Linked DNA regions of Tamandua tetradactyla. The protein of the gene in region 2 binds, or shares a complex with, the protein of the main gene of each other region. Links are inferred from orthologs where the notes say so. Each region holds a gene or a part of one and is shown on either strand. Other genes may lie near its edges.

The links.
Region 1: the proteins of ATP7A (region 2) and ATOX1 are in contact, whole or in part, in an NMR structure (PDB 2K1R), measured with the Homo sapiens proteins. The link is inferred for Tamandua tetradactyla from reciprocal best matches to the Homo sapiens genes ATP7A and ATOX1. Residues at the interface, in NP_000043.4 of Homo sapiens: Cys19, Asn20, Ser21, Cys22, Trp24, Thr25, Gln29, Asp67, Asp68, Met69, Gly70, Phe71, Asp72; in NP_004036.1 of Homo sapiens: Thr11, Cys12, Gly13, Gly14, Cys15, Ala18, Arg21, Val22, Lys25, Lys57, Thr58, Gly59, Lys60.

What each region holds. Positions count from the first base shown.
Region 1 is NC_135346.1:32,593,239-32,602,846, forward strand, and holds the start of ATOX1 (copper transport protein ATOX1), read right to left. Parts: upstream 4,088-9,608; 5' UTR 3,928-4,087; coding exon 3,922-3,927; intron 1-3,921. UniProt on the Homo sapiens protein: Binds and deliver cytosolic copper to the copper ATPase proteins. May be important in cellular antioxidant defense.
Region 2 is NC_135353.1:92,590,247-92,600,084, forward strand, and holds the start of ATP7A (copper-transporting ATPase 1), read right to left. Parts: upstream 3,934-9,838; 5' UTR 3,686-3,933; intron 1-3,685. Other genes in the region: COX7B (cytochrome c oxidase subunit 7B, mitochondrial), read right to left, coding at 7,326-7,403, 8,629-8,753. UniProt on the Homo sapiens protein: ATP-driven copper (Cu(+)) ion pump that plays an important role in intracellular copper ion homeostasis.

The DNA.
Region 1 (9,608 bases), on a different chromosome or scaffold from region 2:
GCACCTTATCAAGTCTTACTGACCACAACTATGGCAGTTAAACTACAGAGAATTTACCCCAGGGTCCACAGGACTCAACTTAAACATGCATCATGCCCTTGAGAAGCCACTCCCATTTCAGATCTCAAGTTAAAACTAACATGAGGATTCCACAAGCAGATGGCATCTGATGTACAGAGCTTTGGCCCAAAAGGTCAGAACAAGGAGATGATACTCAATATCACAAATCAAGACATGCCTGAATTTCCTTATTTTATTCTGTCTCTTCCTTTTCACCATCTGTCTATACTGTCTCTTATTCATCCTATATGCCTTACAATGTCCAATCTCCATCCCCAATAATCCCCACCCTTCACCATGATTTTCTTTTATTTCCTCTTTCTCCTATTTCTGCCCTATGGACAATTTCTGTCCATCTGGTATACCACACAACAAATGGAAACAATCAGAGTCACTGTTGGGTCTGTGCCTATCCCCCTCAGCGTCCCAAGACAGGTAGTCCTCTAATAACATCCTCCTTACACTTGTACACCTGGCCATGACAGAAAACTTCAGATACCCAATCAGACAGATCTCCTTTTTGGAATGGCTCTGGGCTGTGCGTTGAGAGCCCCAGAGACTGGAATTACAATGTGACCTCTCTAACCCAAGGAATGTGGTGTTTTTGCTAGAAACCAGACAGATAAAACTGGCCACCCATAGGGTATAGTAGGTGTTCAATTTCTATTTAAAAAAACTTCATCTGTAGTTTGTACTTATATATCTTTCAAAGCTTTAAGTATTTGCAAGATCAAAATAAAATCTAAATTTATAGAATGCCTACTATATGCCAAATGCTCTTTATACAGTAACTAAGTTAGTCCTCACTCAGCTTGGAGTGGGAGCTATTTTACCTAGGAGGAAAATGAGGTTCCCAGAGGCTAACTAAGCTGCCCACAGTCATATGTTAAGTATTGAGGATGTGATGTGAATCTAGGCCTTCCTCGATTCAGGGAAATCTTGCTGACTTTGGATCAGTAAACTGCACCACCACCTGCTGCCCCCCACAACCCTGACTCTTAGCAGGAGCTGAGAGTGGGAATACTTTCTCCAGGATATAGAAAACACATTTTTTTTTTGCTGCCCAAGATCCTGAAGTTAATAGCTAACTGAAGCTTTCTGCTGTTGACTATAAGCAATGGGTGTCATTTCATCCTCCACAGCAGAGGTCAGAAGCCAGGAGGTGGCTGCTGGAAGCAAACATAGTTCAGTACCCTCCTCCCCCACCTCTGAGTTGCAAAAACAAATCTGGGGGTGGTGGAGGATCTGCTTAATGGACAAAGTGATAATCCATTCTTTACAGGAAATTCCTCAGACCTCCTCCATCATTGGATGCTTGATTTTGGTCAGTTCTGGCCCCTCTGGGTCTGAGCTTCTCACCTAAACAATGAGTTCTTAAAAGTAGAAATCTGATTGTAAATTTTGACATACAATCATAAAAGTAGAAATCTGAGATGATGGAATGGTAGCTCATGACAAACTATGGGATCTGTTCTATAACTACATGTTGAAGCGTGCTTGAAAATTATTGCTTTTTTCTTTGCTTTGTATATATATTATACAATGAAAAGAGTTAAAAAAAAAAAAAGTAGATGAAAAAGTCCAGTAAGCCGTACAATTCTTTTAACAGAATTTCAACACTGGAAGGGCAGGGATAGAGCAGGGTCACTTTGGCCAGCCTCCTTCTAGTGAAGGCATTCTTAAATATCTGGGATATTCAGTCCTTGATACCCACCCCGGTTACTGGGAGTTTATTAGTACTAATATATTTGAATTCTTGCTATGTGCCAGGCATTTCTAAGCACTTATAGGCATTATCTTATTTAATCTTCACAAAGGGCGATATTATTATCCCTTCTTTACAGATGGGGGAACTGAGCTTGAGGTGAGGTCACTCACTTGGGTCATATAGCTAGAGAGTGGCATGACATGGGACTGGATGCAGACACTCTCCAAAGCCTAATCCTGAACCACTGCAGTCCTTGTTAATATTGTGTTCAAATCTGCATGCCTATAGTTCCACCCCTCTCTTCTGCCCTAGGTCTACCCTAGAACTACCATTTCTTGGGACCGGCTATGTCAGTGGCTATGCTATACATTTGACTATTGTTCTTCCAGTTAATATTAACAATAGTCTCGTGAGGTCAGATTTTTTGGGGGGGGGGGCGGGGCATGGGCAAGCTCTGGGAATTGAACCTAGGTCTCTGCCACAGCAGGTGAGAATTCTGCCACTGAGCCACTGGTGCACCACCCAAGGTCAGACTTTTATCCCCATTTTACAGATGAGTAAACCAAGGCACAGAGAAGTAAAGCAACTTGCTGAGGTCACCCAGCTGGCAGGTGTGGGCACAAATGTTCACAGAAGTTTCTGGGATCCCACAGCCTGTGTAAGTGCTTGTCTGAGAAATCTGAGGTGAGATACTCTTCCCCTTCTGATTTTGAAGGCAGTCTCTGGACTACTATCCTTTCTCCTTCAGCCATTCATCTCAAGAATGCCTTCTTGAGATGTCTTCGGTGTTAATGCCTTCCCCATCCCCATTATCCTCTCCAGAGTCTCTGGTTTGTCAAAATCCCCAGAAATGGGCAAAGAGTATTGTGATCCTCAGGCTGGCCTTTCCCTCACTACCATTCTCCACAAAAACCCTAGTGGCCTCTACAATCTGGTCCCAGGGTGATTAATGCTGTTTTCTAACATTGCCACAGTGGATTTGCTAAGCTGGGAGGGCAGATTCTGTCAGGCTCTTTGTCTATAGCTTGTGATGTCTGAGGATTTGTCTCAAGGAACCTGGCAAGACCCAAGGGAACTGACAACTGAGATGTTTGTGGCTCTGCCCAGGGGGGCGGTGGCTCACCTGTCAGCTCCCCAATGACAGGCTGCTAAGACACAGGGTGTCTGGGAACACTTCTGGGCACTCACTTGGAGTAGAGCCAGGAACTAGACACCGTGGAGGGAAAATGCTAAACACCACCTGACCCCAACCAGGATCTCAGAGAGGCAACTGGAATTGGAGCTTTCTCCCAAGCAGGTGTGACTGCTTTTGCAGGTTGCTTCCCTGTGTGATTAGGCCAGGAAGGACTGGAAGCTGGAGGATAAGGGGCTTAATTTTGGTTCCACCCATCTCTCAACACAATTTTGAATAAATTACTGGGCTTTTAATTTTTTTTATCTGCAAAAGACTTTAATTTGTTATCTACAAAATGAGGCCATGACCAAAGATGTATGTGCAATAAGGCTGAGTGAGCTGCAAAGGCAGGCTAAGACCTGCTCATTCCTCCCCAAACTCTGTCACTGAGTAACTGATGACTTTGAGCAGGACTCTGAACCTCTCTGGAGCTCATGGATTCAGGTTCAGAAACTGACCAGTTGAAAAAGGTCAAAAGTACTGGCGCCATTCAAGTTCGTCCAACACCGACCTGAAAATCTGCCAGAGTGGGCAGGGAAGTGAAGAAAAATATGGATCTCTGAAAACCTGCCCAGTCAGGGTGGCAAGAGTCGGGCTCATAACTTGCTCATAACCACCCCACATTCTTCTTTAAGGTCAGCTCCCGGGAAAGGGGCATCCAGGAGGAAGGTGCAGAACTAAGGTTTCCCATTCCAGCTTGCCACCAATTCTCTGTGTAACCTCGGATGTCTGCCTCCTTTTTGGATCTTAGTTTCCCAGTACATGCAAGGAGGGTTTGGGCTCGTGATCGTTGGAGGCGTTGTAACTCCAGCATTCTGAAGCCTGGCTCCTTGAATCACTTCCTCTCGGTTCCGATTTTCTGGAGGGTCCTAGAAGCTGGGGGGGGGGGGGTAGCAACCCCTGGTCAAGCAGCAGTGCAGCCAAGGCGCGACCCAGGGGCCCCAGGTTTGGGCAGGGCCGGGACGACGCGGCCACTTACCGGCATAATGGATGGCGGGAGCAGGGGTGAAGGGGTTGGCGGTGCAGCCTCCCGGACGCTAGGCAAGTTCGCTGGGGCAGCGCTTCCGGGTGAGCGCGCCGGGAGGAGACGGGCCACTCGGCCAAGCCCCGCCCTCTCCGGGGTCGAACCGCCGCCAGGCCCCGCCCTTTCCGCCGCTGCGCTGGCACCTCCTAGTCGGTGGGCAGATACCGGACCACTACCGGTAGATTCCCGCCAAGTGAATCCCCATTGGCGCTTGGCCATTTTTAGAACGCCTGCTCCATGTCAGGCCTTGTAGTAGGGACTGGGAATACAAGGGCACCAATAGTCAACAGAACAGATTCCATCCCTCGTAAATACATGCACAATACACGGTCTCATTTTTTCGTGATACACAATCTCATTTACTCAGTCAATATTTATGGAGTACTAACCGTGGGCTAGCACTGTGTTAGGCATCCCAAGGTGCTGTAGTGGAAAACGACGTACCTTCGAAGGGAGCGAAAGAAGCAATGAATAATGCAGCCATAAAGGAGCTATGAAGGGTTGTCATGGGAGTTTAGACAAAAGGTTCCTAATTCAGACTGGAGTGCGGGAAGGGAGAGGCGGAGGCTTCTGGAGGATGTAATATCTGAGTTAAAGAGGAAGAATCAAATTCACCTGATGAGGAAGATGAGCTCATTAGGGGAAAGGGAGGTATGGGGAACAGTGTTTTGGGCCCAGGGAACAGCATGAATTAAAAACTGGAAGGCAAAAGTGAGCAGATTTGAGAGACAGAGATATTAAGCCTGAGAGGTAGGCTCACACAGATAAACTATTTGACAAGACTAAAGAGATCCACAGCTATGTGTGGAGACATAGAGGCAGACATGCTCTAGGAAACTTACAGAGAAACAGACATGTGAAAACCTGAAACTTCACACACACATACCCAATACACAGAGAACCAAGGTGACTCTCTCCTTGGAAATATCCAAGGACCCTCCCAGGGGTGGGGGTGCTCTGTCTAAATAGTTTCTCAAAGGTCTTTCATCAAGAATGGCTTAGAAAGCCTGATAAATATTCAGATTTCTAGGCCTCTCCCCAGATACACAGCTGCCTTTTGTGTGTGTGTGTGTGTGTGTGTGTGTGTGCATCAAAGGACTTTTCAATGTGAAAAAATTAGAATGGGCATAGCCCAAATATCACTAAGGATTGGGAGAAGGATCAAAGGAGAAGGAGTTATAAAAGAGACATTACTTTTAATAAATTAGAAAGTAAAAAAGACAACCTACAGAATGGGGGTAATATTTGGAAAACATATATCTGATAAGGGCTTTTTAACTTTTTTTGATAAGAGCTTTTTAAAACATTTTTTACTATGAGATGTAACATAGATACAAAAAAAAGAATACATTTTAAATTACATTTTAACAAGTAGTTATAGAACAGAATTCAACGTTGGGTATGGGTTACAGTTCCACAATTTCAGGTTTTTCCTTCTAGCTGCTCCAAGACACTGGAGACTAAATGGCAATATCAATATAATGATTCAATAGTCATACTCATTAGTTAAATCCTAACGTTTCTTTTATAACTCCTTCTCCTTTGATCCTTCTCCCAGTCCTTAGGGATATTTGGGCTATACCCATTCTAATTTTTTCACATTGAAAAGCGGCGTCAATCATACAGGATACGGGGACAGAACTGGTTGATGATTTTGCAGAGACTGGGGGTTTCAGGACTTATCTGGCCTGGGAACCATCTGAAGTTTTAGGTTTCTGAGAAGTAAACTTGGTGTGTGAAACTTTTGTAGAATCTAAGATACAGCCTGGGTGCTCTTTAGGGTTAATGAGAGTAATGTTAATTAGGATTTGGCAAACCCTGGCAATTAGCAATATCTAGCTTAAGTTTGTGTAAGGGTAGCCTCCAGAATAGCCTCTCCACTCCATTTGAACTCTCTTAGCCACTGACACCTTATTTTGTTACCTTTCTTCCTGCCTCATTTTGAGGAACACTTTTAGTCCTCCTTCCTCTTGTTTCGAAAGCCCCTACTAGAGGAAAATTATAGTATAACACAGGGAAGTTTTTTGAGGGAGTGTGCTGGTTATTAATTTATTGCTGCTCAGCTCCAGATTCATCCTTTTTGCCTGCACTGTGAAAATGGATCTGGGCCCTTTAAATTTATTTTGTCCTTTACAGCTGGTGAGATGTTTAACTTTTTCGGTTGAAGGTTCTGGAGAGACACTGACTGAAGAAAAAGTTTTCCTTCCTGTTTCCGCTGGGCTGATTCACCAGGGTCCTGCAGTATGTGTGGCTCTCCCAGCTCCTGTGGATGGCTTCTTCGGGACCAGGCCCCTGCTTTTAGCCTAGGGACCAGCAACACCTGGCTAGCAGTGCCCCACTTACCCCACCTCAAACCCTGGTAGAAGTGGTTTTGAGCAGAGTTTCTCCAGTAAACAGCTCTGTGTAAACAGTTTTCTTCAGCACTTTAGAGAATGGATTTCTAGCCAGTTCCACCAGTGCGGCCCCAGGGTGTGGGCCACAGCTATGCCATCTCGAACAAGGTGTTCATCTCAGGCTGAGGGTGGGGCAGGAAGGGAGGCGCTCATCGGGTGTTCTCTTTCAGCCCTCTGGTTAGTGGCTGCTCCTTATATCTGCTATTCCTGTATTCTTTAGAGCTCTCTTTACTTCTTATTAGCCAATCCCTCATTACCATGGCATCTTGTTATAATAATTCTTTAAATTTTCCTTGTGCAAATTACCATGTGGTTTTTCTCTCCTGATTAGACCCAGATAGACGGAGGGATTAACAAAAAGCTACTAACTTTGGTTTAGGGAAGAGGATAATGGTTCCTAAATTCAAGGAACACAAAATCAAAGGAACAAGTCTAGGCCAGGGGCTAGTTTGAATCTTACCCTTATCATTTACCAGGTGTGTTACTTCAACCCTTTAAGTCTCAATATGCTCCCTTATTAAAGGGGATAGTTAAGGTGACTTACAATTTTTTATGTAAACCTTTTTTTTTTTTTGAGACTGAAAAAGGATGTCATTAATAATTATGCCAGGACCATGGGCATATAACTATGACTGCTCCAGGTAAATCAGGACATATGGTTCCTCCAAAGAGACCTACTTTGTAGCATCATTGGGAGGAATAAATATGATAATTTATGCAAACTGCCTTGTGCATTGGTTGGCACATGGTAGACATTAAAGAATATTACAACTCTTCTACAAAAGAGTTCTAATTGCTAGAGCCCCTGCTGGCAACTTGGCAGGCAGTCTTCCCCTACTGGCAAAAATGCTCACCTGTTAATCCACTGCGCCGTCCCCACCATTTGCCATTTCCTAAAGCCAAAAATTCTTTTTCCCTACACTCTCTAAATAGGTGGCAGACTACCCATTCTACATCTGTTCTCCTGTAGGAAACATGTAGGTGTGGGAAGGTGATCATCATTTTACTCCACATGGAGAGATTTTGTTTGGGTGGGAGGAAGGGAGAAAGAAGGGAGGAAAGAGGGTGCTATAGGGCTGGTAACCTCAGGTCTCAGAAGGCACGGCTGAGAACTTTGGCAACACTGGGGGACAGTTGTGCACTGAGGCTGGGGATAACGACATCCCTGTGGGGGTCAGGGGGTTAGGGAGAGTAAATCCTTCACAAAGCCAAAAGCAACAGTGACAAGGCAAGCCAATCAAGGCAAAGGAAGAGTGGGTGGCTCAGAAAATGGGCAATGGGGAGTTAAGCAGGGAGAAAACAATTTAATAAAGCAGCAGCATCATGGAAACCCATTATAGGTGGCAAATGAAGGCCTATCAAAGGGGAGAGGAAAATGCACAGGATTGTAGTCCTATATAATTATACACATAAAATCCATTTATTTATAATAAAAATAGACTAAAGATATACTATAGCAATTTCTACTAGAGGTTATTTTGGACAGGTACAGGATCAGAGGCAAAATTCCAATGTACATGTTGTGTTTAAAAATTTTCAAATAGCACAAAAGGGTATACACTGAAAAATAGGTCTCCCTCTGTGGTGGTTTATGTTTCAACTTGGCCAGATAATGGTGCCCAGTTGTCTGGTGAAGCACTGGCCTAAGCATTACTGCAAGGACATTTTGTGGACTTAAATCATCAGTAAGGGGTGGGCCATGGTGGCTCAGCAGGCAGAATCCTCACCTGCCATGCTGGAGACCCGGGTTCGATTCCCGGTGCCTGCTCATGCGAAAAAAAAAAAAAATCATCAGTAAGTTGATTGCATCTATGACTGATTACATCTAAATTAACGAGAGTATCTTCAGCAATGAGAGAGATTTAATTGAATCAGATGAAGGCTTTAAAAGGAGAAGTCAGAAGAGAGAATCTCTCACTGCACTTCAATGAACCAGCCTCTCCTGGGGAATTCATCAAAGACCTTCATCAGAGCTGCCAGCTTGCAGCCTGCAGTCATAATTTGGACTTGTGTATCCCCACGGTTGCATGAGACCCTTTTATAAAATCTCATATTTACAGATATCTCCTGTTGGTTCTGTTTCCCTAGATAACCCTAATACACCCTCCTACCCCGATTCCCCCTTTCATAAACAAAATGCATATAACATATGTTTTGCACTCTGATTTTCTTATTTTACAATTAATTTCCTTCTTTCTTTTTGGTGCCATGTAATGTTCCATTATTCAGTAATCTTAATTTATTTTGCCACTCCTTATGGCAGAGACCATTTGTTGGCTAATCCAACAACTGTTCCCGATCTTTTACTCTTGCTACTATTGATGCTGAAATATCTAAATATGCTTTTCCAGCCTCCCTTGCAGCCAGGTATGCCATTTGATAGGGCTGTAGTCAATGAGACAAAAGTAGAAGTCTTCTAGGAGGCTCCTGGGAAAGCTCCGGCATTCCTCACCAAGGGAACAAATACCACTCCTTTCTCCCTTTCTGCTTAGAACACTCTAGAATAGTGTCCACCATCTTGCAATTAAGAGAATCACAGAGATGCTAGTCCTGACATTGTGGGTACTGGACCAATGCCAGCTGCAGCTTATTTCTAGGCTTGTTACATATAGAAAGATATTTTGTAATTTGATGGTTGAAAAATTAACTTCTTTTCACTTTGGTTTCTCCATCTGTTGAAATTAACTGTTGTGAGGATTCATATATTATTCTTGGTCCTTTCTTCCTTTTTGAATTTAGAGTGGTATAAACTTTATTATTATTATTTTTTAGGTGCATGGTCTGGAACTTGAACCCAGGTCTCCCGCATGGAAGACGAGCATCCTACCACTGGACCACCATGTACCCCAGTATAAACTTGATTTTGAATACTAATACTAATTCTGCCATAGTTGGTAGATCTGTAAAACAGAGTTAATATTTCATAGAATTTTGGGGAGGATGAATTGAAAAAAAAATGTGCCTAGCACCATGGTGCTTGAAACATATTATTAATATGATTGTTATTTGGTCTTCTAAACCACAGAAGGTGGGGCCTTCTAGATTCATAGGTAGTATCAGAGTGTGCTGGAAAAAGCCTTTTGCAGAGCTTTGGCTGTAGATTACCAGGATTTGCCATGGGCTCCAAAATCCTCAAACCACTTCGAAATTTCTGTATGCAGCATTACCGAGTGCTACACATGAAAGGATAAAGAGCACATAGCAGTCTTTCAGAAGTTTTTGAGGAGACCATGCCCCTTTCTCTACTAT
Region 2 (9,838 bases):
TCTGTGAAAAATTATGTACCCTACCAATATTCTACACATGTGAGCTCACAAAGATGAGGAAATCACTTCAATTTGCTAACAGTGCTGAAGAAATCAGAAACATATTTATGAAACCAGAAATACTGTCCCTTTCACTTTAATGAAACACATTCTAAATGAATTTTGATACTTCTGCCATACTATCTCAGCAAATCAGCAGGTATCACATTACATCAACCTGAAGACTGACTGAGATTTAGAAGTGAAAAACATAATTGCTGGGATGGTAGAATGAACTGAAATTCTCTGTCTGACTGCTGGCTAATGCCTCCCCCTGTCCCTGCCACTATCTTGCCTTATGTCCTGTGGAAAACTGCTGTTTAAAAAATCACTGTTAGAGTTGAGACTTAAATCTACAAGTCACCTATACCTCATTCCACCATTTCCTTACACATGTTCTTTGACTAAGCACGTAATCAATTTGTGCATGCCAGGTGATATAATTAGATCACCTCTAATTATATCATCTGGGGCCACTCTACTCATTATCCTAAACCCTGCCCATCTTTTCTCTAATAAAACTACCAGAATTACTGCAGTTCGAGGAGACAGATTTTGGATAGCTAGGCCATCTGCTTTCCTACTATGCGCCTAGTAACAAACAGTTTCTCCTTTTGAAAAAAAAAAAAATCACTGTTGGGACATGACTCCCAGGGATGAGCCTGGTGCTAGCATCATGGGATTGAGAAAGACTTCTTCACCAAAAAGGGGAAGAGAAATGAAACAAAATAAAGTTTCAGTGGCTGAGAGATTTCAAGTGGAGTTGAGAGGTCACTCTGGAGGTTATTCTTATGCAGTATAGAGGTATCCCTTTTCAGCTTTGGGGGTTTTGGAGTAGCTAGAGGGAAAATACCTGAAACTGTTGAAGTGCAATCCAATAGTCTTGATCCTTGAAGATGACTGAATAACTATAGAGCTTTTAAGGTGTGACCCTGTGACTGAAAATCTTGTGACTGACACTCCCAGCATATGGACAGACGAGTAAGAAAAAAAACAAGACAAAGAATAAATAAATAATAGAGGGGAGTGGGAATGGGATGTTTTGGATGTACTTTTTTACTTTTATTTGCACTTCTATTATTATTTTTATTTTTTGGAGTAATGAAAATCTTCAAAAATTGATTGTAAAGCCCAAATAACCCTAAAGAGTAGGAGAAAGATCAAAGAAGATGGTGGAGTTATAACAGAGAAGGTAAGGTTTAACAAATGAGTATGATTGCTGAATCATTATTTTGATATCTCTTTAGTCTCTAGCGTCTTAGAGCAGCTAGTAGTAAAAACCTAAAATTGTGGAACTAACGGTAACCCATACCAAGCTCTGAAATCTGTTCTACAACTAATTGCTGCAGTGTGCTTTGAAATGTATTGCTTTTTTGTATATATGTTATTTTTCACACAAAAAAGTCAATTGTGGTGATGAATGCACAGCTATAAGATGTACACCTTGGATGATCATATGGTATGTGAACATATATCACAATAAAATTGCATTAAAAATTCTTTTGAAGGAAAAAAATCACTGTTTAAAAAAAACAGTAAACTGGCACTTCTTTTTAACAAATATGAGTAGAGGAAATTTTAAGACAAAATTCCAAAATATTATTCTCATCTCTGCCAGTGACTGTATCACCTCAGACAAATCTTCACTTCTCACAACTTATTTTCCCAATGATCAAATGAAGATTATTTTCACTCACCGGGGTGTTAAAAGTCTTGATTAAAGTTTGTCAAGAATTTTTAAATACATAGATAAAAGCAGTTATATCAAGGAATTTATAAAAGAAATGTAGAACCTTCAAGCTCTCACAGAAGTAAAGGTTTTACTTCTGTGTTAGATAGGATTATTCGTGCTCTGTCCCTCTCTCTTTCTCTATCTTTTAAACAAATTCCACTGCTTCTTTATGGATTTTTCAAAGAAAAACAACCTGCTGCATTAGAGAACACACCTGTTAACCTATCCTTTGGGGTTATTTGTGTTTTACCTAATCCTAGGTGAAGTCCAGAAATCAAGATCATTTTAAGACTGTAATTGGAAATGAATAGTGTCTATCAAGGTAAGAAAACCAGTAGAGAAATCAATTTGGAAAAAAGAGAGCAAAAATTTCTTTGGAGAAAACCTGAAACAGCTCCTGACTTTACAATATTGTTATTAATTCCCAGCAACTTTAAAAAGTTTTCCAAATTATATTTAAGATGCAACACTTAATCAGAATGAAAGTATAGCAAGCATTATTTTTTCTTTTAGATTTTTAAAAATTTTTATGTATTTTTATTGAGATATCTTCACACACCATATAATCCATCCAAAGTATACAATCAATGCTTCACAATATCATCACATAGTTATGTATTCATCATTCCTTTTAGATTTGAGTTTACATCAGAATTAAATCTTGTCATTATGCATTAACATTGTTTTTGTCATTTCCCTTTGTGTTTTTTCCATGTATAGGCTTTTTCAATTTTTGGCTGGAAGGTAATTGGTTATAGTTGTAAGCTTACCATATTTACGGCTTTGTAGTTTTTTTTTTCCCCCTTTAACCAGTGACATCTTGGAAGATGTGAATGTACTGGAAATAAGGAAATTGACTTGACAGTGTAGCCTCCAAGACTTTGCTCATGTTATTTCTTCTACCTAGACTGTCTTCCTCTCCCTCCATTTCCACAAAGCTAAATCCTATCCAGTTTTCAAGGCCCAGCTCAAATGCTCCCTTCTCCGGGCTCTCATAACACTTTCTGGTTCTAACACACAATGTAAGTGTGATAAAAAGTGTTTAATCATCTTTCCACTACATTGTGAGATCCTCCAGTACAAAAACACCTTCTCATGAAAGTTTGAAAAATAAAAATATATATATATTAAAAAGTTCAAAATATCCTTTTAAAAGGATGAGATAAACAGTCTAGTTTCAATCAGTGGGGTTGATAGAAACCATTGCCTTCATTATTAGCCGAACTCATCTAACTTGATTGTAAACTCTTTTGAGGTCAGGCACCCTGTCTTATTTCTTGAGCAGCACCCCTCCCCCCATCTCAGTATCACCTAATTCAATTTTGAACACAAATGAAGTCTTATTAAAAAAGTAATACTACTATAGATGAAGAGGCTATGATTAAAACAAAGTTCAGATCCTGGAAAACCAACTGTGAAATGACAGAAAAGTGCTGTCTACAACAGAAAGTATCAAAGATAAAGATGCAAAAGGATGGGACAAGGATGGAGACTAACTTTTCTGGGAAAGGGACACAAGATCAAAATGAAGTGAAAACTGCACTCTCAGTTTAGTTAATGATCTCAGAGGGAAACAAGAAGCAAAATGCCTAGTTTTTAATTATTTTATTAATAATGGTGACCTTAATAGCCTTAGTTTCCAAAGTATAAAGGTGTGTCACTAAGCACAGACCCTAATCCATGAGACCTCCAATACTAGGCAAAGACCTCCTCATACCCTCAAGAGGCCATGAATGATCCAGAGAGTAACGCGGGTCATGGGAAGATAAAACTTACGTGCAGTAAATAACCAAATCCTGAAGAAGTGAGAGTTTGGAGATTGCCCCAGATTAAAATGACCTTCTCACCAAACTCGGTTGTTCAGAACACCCTATCCAGTAGAAGAGGATGATGGGAACCCGATACAGGACCTACCTGTGTGTTTCTGTTCTATGGTAAAACCTCCGGAGCTACGCTGACTGTGGCACGGATAAATCCAACAAGCACGGGTTCCAATCTCACACACGGGAAGAAGTCACAACGGAGGGAATGACTGTGACGGTGGCGGCGACGGCGGCGGCGGCGGCAGCAGGAGCTCCTCCCTCTGCTTTTACTCTTCCTCCACCCACTGCCGCCGCCGCCCGCCTTTACCTGTCCCTCCCCAAGCTACCCTACTTCCGGGCGATGCCCCAGCCGGAAGCGAGGCTGACGTAGGAGGGAGCGGCAACGTGTCACGTGAATGGGGAACGCACAGATTAAAGCCAAGCTTCTCCCGCCCCCTGCTGCCGTTGGGCTGAGGCGCAGCTAGCTTCAGGCGGAAGTCATCGTTTTGGCGCTACCCATCCTATTGCCCTCGTCCGCCACCAAAAAACCAAAAACCAAACAAACAAAAACAACCAGAGTGCTTCTGTCACCTGTAGTTTCTTAACCTCAAGCCAGATTCTTAACCTCAAGCTGTTATTGTACCATATGAACGTCTTATAAATCATCTTCTACATATTTCATCCTTTCCCAGCATGAATTAAATCACTTTTTTTTTGGTGTAACCTGACTCCACATGTAAATGCCACAACTAAGAACTTGCCTTCACCCTGCCATTAAAAAATGACCAAGGAGGGGGAAAAAGTCTTGTATTGAGGTTTGAGGGGGAGATCTACCTTCACATAGCCAACCCAAGCTTTGAACCGCTTCCCCCCATTTAACAATTTCGGTAATCCATCATTTTAAACACCTAGAAGATTCCAGGGATGCAAAAAAATATTAGAGTATCTATCATCATGAGTTGATGAGAGCCATAAAATGTAACAATGCAATGCAACAAACAAGTGATAGAGAAACCATTTGAGGAAACAGTATATTCTTTTACTCCTGTTTTTCCAATCTTACTTTTTTTAATCTAGGACTTAGCAAAATATAAATATTAACAATAAAACGGGGAGAGGCTTACTAATCTTACTTATTTTCGAAGCAAGATGTGGTCTTTTCATATTTCTTCTCAAATCCGTATCTTAATATGTAGGGTGAAACTAATCACAGGACCATTTGTACTTTTAACTGGAACCATTTGAACCCAGTTCTCACAGAAGAGCACCAAGTCTGAAAATGTTGCAGAACTCAAACTAGTACACAATATACAAATATTAAATAAGTTAATAATTGTAAAAGGCTTAGAAAAGTCTCTGGCACACAATACACATACCTAAGTGTTAATTTCCATCCCACCTGTTGTCAAATTCCTATTAAGCCTTGACAGACATTTAAAACCTCCCAAACCAAATGAAATTTTAGAACTGAATTATATATTTCAGAAACAATTATCCCTTCCCTCCCCCTTACACCCACCAATATAAAGTCACAACTTGGTTTGCAACTATAATATTAACTCTGCTTTAAGCTTTCAAAGAAATTCACTAAAAGGCAGAAAACAGAAGTATCACCTTATCAGAGGAACATCAAATCTACTAGCTCTCTAGTTCTTTTATACAAATATTGAAGTTTACCTTTATGGGCCACAGGATCCTCTACAAGTCACGTACATTTAGGCACTGAGCCTTTCCTTCACTCTAAAATATCTTGTATCTGTAAATGCATCATCCTAATCCCCTTTATCAATGCATAAGCATATTAACATTTTTTCACAATTACTATAGATATATATTATTTTGACTGACCTTTCAAATTAAGCATATATTCAAGAAGTCTGGTTTGCTGGTGTCAGATAATTAAGTGCCCCACAAACGCTTATTAGATAGTTTTAATACCTCGACTAAAGTTATTTGTCTTCAGGGTGTGAACTCAACTGTGCCTCTACACTATCACAGCACCTAGAGTGTTGTTTATTAAATCAATTTTAAAAGAACAGATCACAGGTGCTAAAATAATTGTTTTAAAATGAAATTAAGAATTATTTATGATTCACCCTAATTAAAAAATACTTCATAGCCCTCTAACAACACTGTAAAGACTGACGATGCTTCTAAAATAGGTCAATTACCTAAATTCTTCAGATATACATATACTTAATAGGAAGACAATTTGATGACCTTCCAACTCCAGGTATTAAAACTCTTAACTGAGGTGATGTGCTATGGGATAAGTTTAGTACATTTTGTGTGAGAAGATAAAATTTTGTACCTGAATGTGTAAACTGCAAAACCAGAATATTCTGACGGCATAAAGAATTTCAAGATTTAACTACTACCATTCTAGTAGTGGCCATGATAGTTTTAGAATTAATCATTAGGACAAGGTTAGTTATAAAATTAAGTTTTAGAAGCTTGCTCTCAGTGATGAAAAGATAATTAATGGGAGACTGAGAATTCCTTGAAGACATGTTTATTTTGCTTAATCATATCTCAGGATTACATGTGAATAATACTTAGAACTATTATGAGGAACATTCTAAATATGAGATATTTGTCCCAAATTTTTTTAAATAATGGTACTAGTTACCGGTTTTGTAACCTACTTATTTTGCAATAAATTTTTCCCACTCAAATCATGTAATTATTGACTTTAGTGCATTTGATGAGAAGCTAGGACATACTATGAAAGCACTTCTAGTATTTCACAGTAAGCAAAAATACTTAGAAATATTTGGTTAAGTTTAAATCCTTATATACATTAGGTAAATTTGGAGATTCCCGAAAGCCACTTACCTAAACTTTTTATAGTTATCAGATAAGTGGATTTTAGTAATCTCTAAATCTAGCTAATATAGGCAAGTTACTCAACTGAAATTTCATTTTCTTCATATTTGACCATTGCCAATGCACTACTGCAAACTATTTTATAAGCCTTCAACCAAGGAAGTAATGAAGCCCTTGGTGCAAATATTTTCTTCAGCTATACATGAAATCCCTTATCATATAATGAATTTAGGATAATCTACAAAATGAAACATTGTTATAATTACAATAAGGCAACAGAAGAGGTCACAGATAATTGTGAATCAACTATTTTTTATGTCAGTAAACTGTTTTTGACAGAACACTTCTTTAGTAACATTTTCAACTTCTCTAAACAATGCTATATAAAGCTCTAAATAAGTGTGCCAAGGAAGCAAGGAGCAGGCTAGTTTTCAAATATCCTAGTAATTTTCTATGACCACTCTTCCATTTGATTCTGATGACATCTTAAGTTCTCCAGGCAGGAGTGAAAAGAACTTAATGGAAATTCCAAACCTACACATAAATGAGGTACAAAAGGATTAAGTGTAACCAAAATCTGGATACCAAATTTTTAGCTCAAAGATGATTTAAAATACCTCTTGAAATCATGAGCTATAATTTCAGACTTGTAGGTGATAGCCAAATTTTCCTTTTATACTACCTTACAGAGAAAAGATATTTAAGAATTGTATAGCATTTAGACTTTAATATTAAGACAAAAGTTAAATAAATGAAAAGTGATCAAACTTGGTTTCATTTACAAAGGAAATAAAGCCTCCGATAAAGGTTTCAAATGTACTTTATTTCTTCAACAATGTCATATTTTAATGGGTACACAATGCTTTTACTTGTCATGAATTATGAGTTGCTTTTGAAACATTTTGGTATCACACCAGCTGGGATGATTACTGATCTCTCCATTCCTTTGGGGTGACTCTGCCAACAGGGGACAGGTTCCATTCTATTCCAATTTGTGTTGCTGTCTGTAAGAATTAAAATGTTGTCAGTTACACATATTTAACTCCAAGTCCCCCTTCTCTCACAGCCCATTTCTTGAAAGTGACAAAGATATTTTGCTCTATAGGTTAGAAATACACAGACACTCATCTGAGATATAGCCCTCCAACAGATTAAAACAGCAGTGCTGTCCAATAGAACTTTTCTGAGATGATGGAAGTGTTCTAAATCTTTGATATCCAATACAGTAGTCATTAGCCACACATGGTTACTAAGCAAGTGAAATGTGCCTAGTATGACTGAGGAACTGAATTTTTAATTTTATTTAATTCAAATTTATATGCCATAGTTCTATAGTACTTGCTCAAAACATTGTTTCTTTCCATTACAACCAACTAAATAACCACGAAAGAGCTAGTTTTAATAGCCCTTCATTCTTAAGGACTTTATTTCTAAAAGCTCCTCTGATGACACATTTGTTCAACATCTGCTTATCCTTCTAATTATGTACACAATTATTTTAATAGTAGATCTGATTTCAGGATGATCAAGTGAAGAATGGAAAAAGTGTACTAAATAAAGTTTGTTTATCAAGGCAAGAGTTGATTTACCATTTAAAACCAATATAAACATTTTTTATAATTTCAGATTTTCTATTTTTAACCAACAAGAAGAGTGACTGCTAAGTATATTATTAAATATACAGATGTAAAAAAGCTAAAATATTGAAAGCAAATTACTTTACATCTCATCCATCAGAAGCACTGTCCTCAGTTCCAAGCATACAATTTTAAAAGAAAAACTGATAAGTGGACTGTGTCCTGGACGGTGAAAGTCCTGGAAACCACATAGCAAAAAATGACTGATAGAACTTAGGATGTTTAACCTGAAAGAGATGATTCAGAGAAAGAGATGATTGCAATTTTCTAATATCTGAGAACTGTTACATGGACATGGGATCCAAATTTCTATATAGCAATAGACTAATGGGCAGAATTTGAAGGGAGGCAGATTTTAACATACCCTTTTAACATCTACCTTTTACAGGTACATGACATGAAAATGGCTGCTCCTGATCCAGTAAACAACTTGTTATTGAAAATGGATGAGTACTGAATGTGGAAGAAGAAATTCCTGCATTGCTTAATCCTAACTATAATTGTATGCTACTGTGTTAAAATGTGTTGAATACACGTGCCAAAGAGGAATGAGAAACAACTAAAACAGAAATTACTAATCAATAGTACTTACATATGTCCATACAGCAACACAGAAAGTAGCTCCACTAGCTAATACAGCATTACCATATTTGTCATGGAAATCAGGTGCGCGTTTCTGGTGGCTCAGCCTTGCCATTGTTTGCTGAATGCTTCGAACTTAAAGAAAGAAAAAAGGAATACGGAATCATATCTATCAATTATCAGAAAAAACAGAACTATGTGACTCATACTGCCAATCAAAGAAGCCAAGGAAATTAACTTTACAGTATTATGCAGTGCAATAAAATATTAAAACACTGTAGTTAAAAACAAAGTAGCATACTTTGAAATACATCTAAAATAAGACTGATGGATAGATAATGTGATAAACACAGCAAAATGTGAACAGGTGCAGAATCTACATGATAGGTATATGAATGTTCATCTGAAAGCTCAATTTATACAATTCTTCCAACTTTTCTGTAGTATGAAAATTTTCATAACAATGCTGGGGAAGAATGCAAAGAGGTGATGTTAGTCCATTCACTAAAAAAAGATATTTGTATAACCTCTGAAATTTGGCTCCTATTCATTAATTTGAACACTGATGTCTTAAATTTTCACTAATGTTTACTCAACAGTGTTCAACAACTCACAATATACAAGGGTAAATAAACTCAAAATAAACAAGTTAAAGCACACTAAATATTTATGGCCATAAAAAATTTTAAACCTAAAAATCAGGGCAATTTTGATTTTTAAAGAAATACTGATGAATAAGGCATCATGCTAAAAGAAATGGAGTATATAAAAATGTGTAAGACGCAGACCCTGTCGTCAGGTAACTTCCAGTATAGAGATTAGATATGTAAATATGTATTACTAAAGTACAAGGAAGTAGAATTTTAGCTAAGCAGTTTGAATGATAAGTACAATTTGATAATGAAAATGTGGGAAGGGAAATATGGACAAAGACAGAAAAGCCGAGCGTACTGGAAAATCAACTTTGGTTGAAGGACAAGGTATGTAAGTAATAGGGGTAACACTAGAAAGGATCATGAAGGGCCTTGAATGCTGGGCCACTTTTTTTTTTTTTTTGGTAGCTAAAGGTTTTTGAGCAGAATGACAAGTTTAAAACTCTGCTTTTTACTCAAGTAGAAAGGGTAGAACAATTATTTTTCAAATTGCCTCCAGAGGTACTTAGGAGGGCCGAGGAAAGAGCCTGGAAAAGGCGTTATTTTTGATGCTTTGTTTTGTTTTTT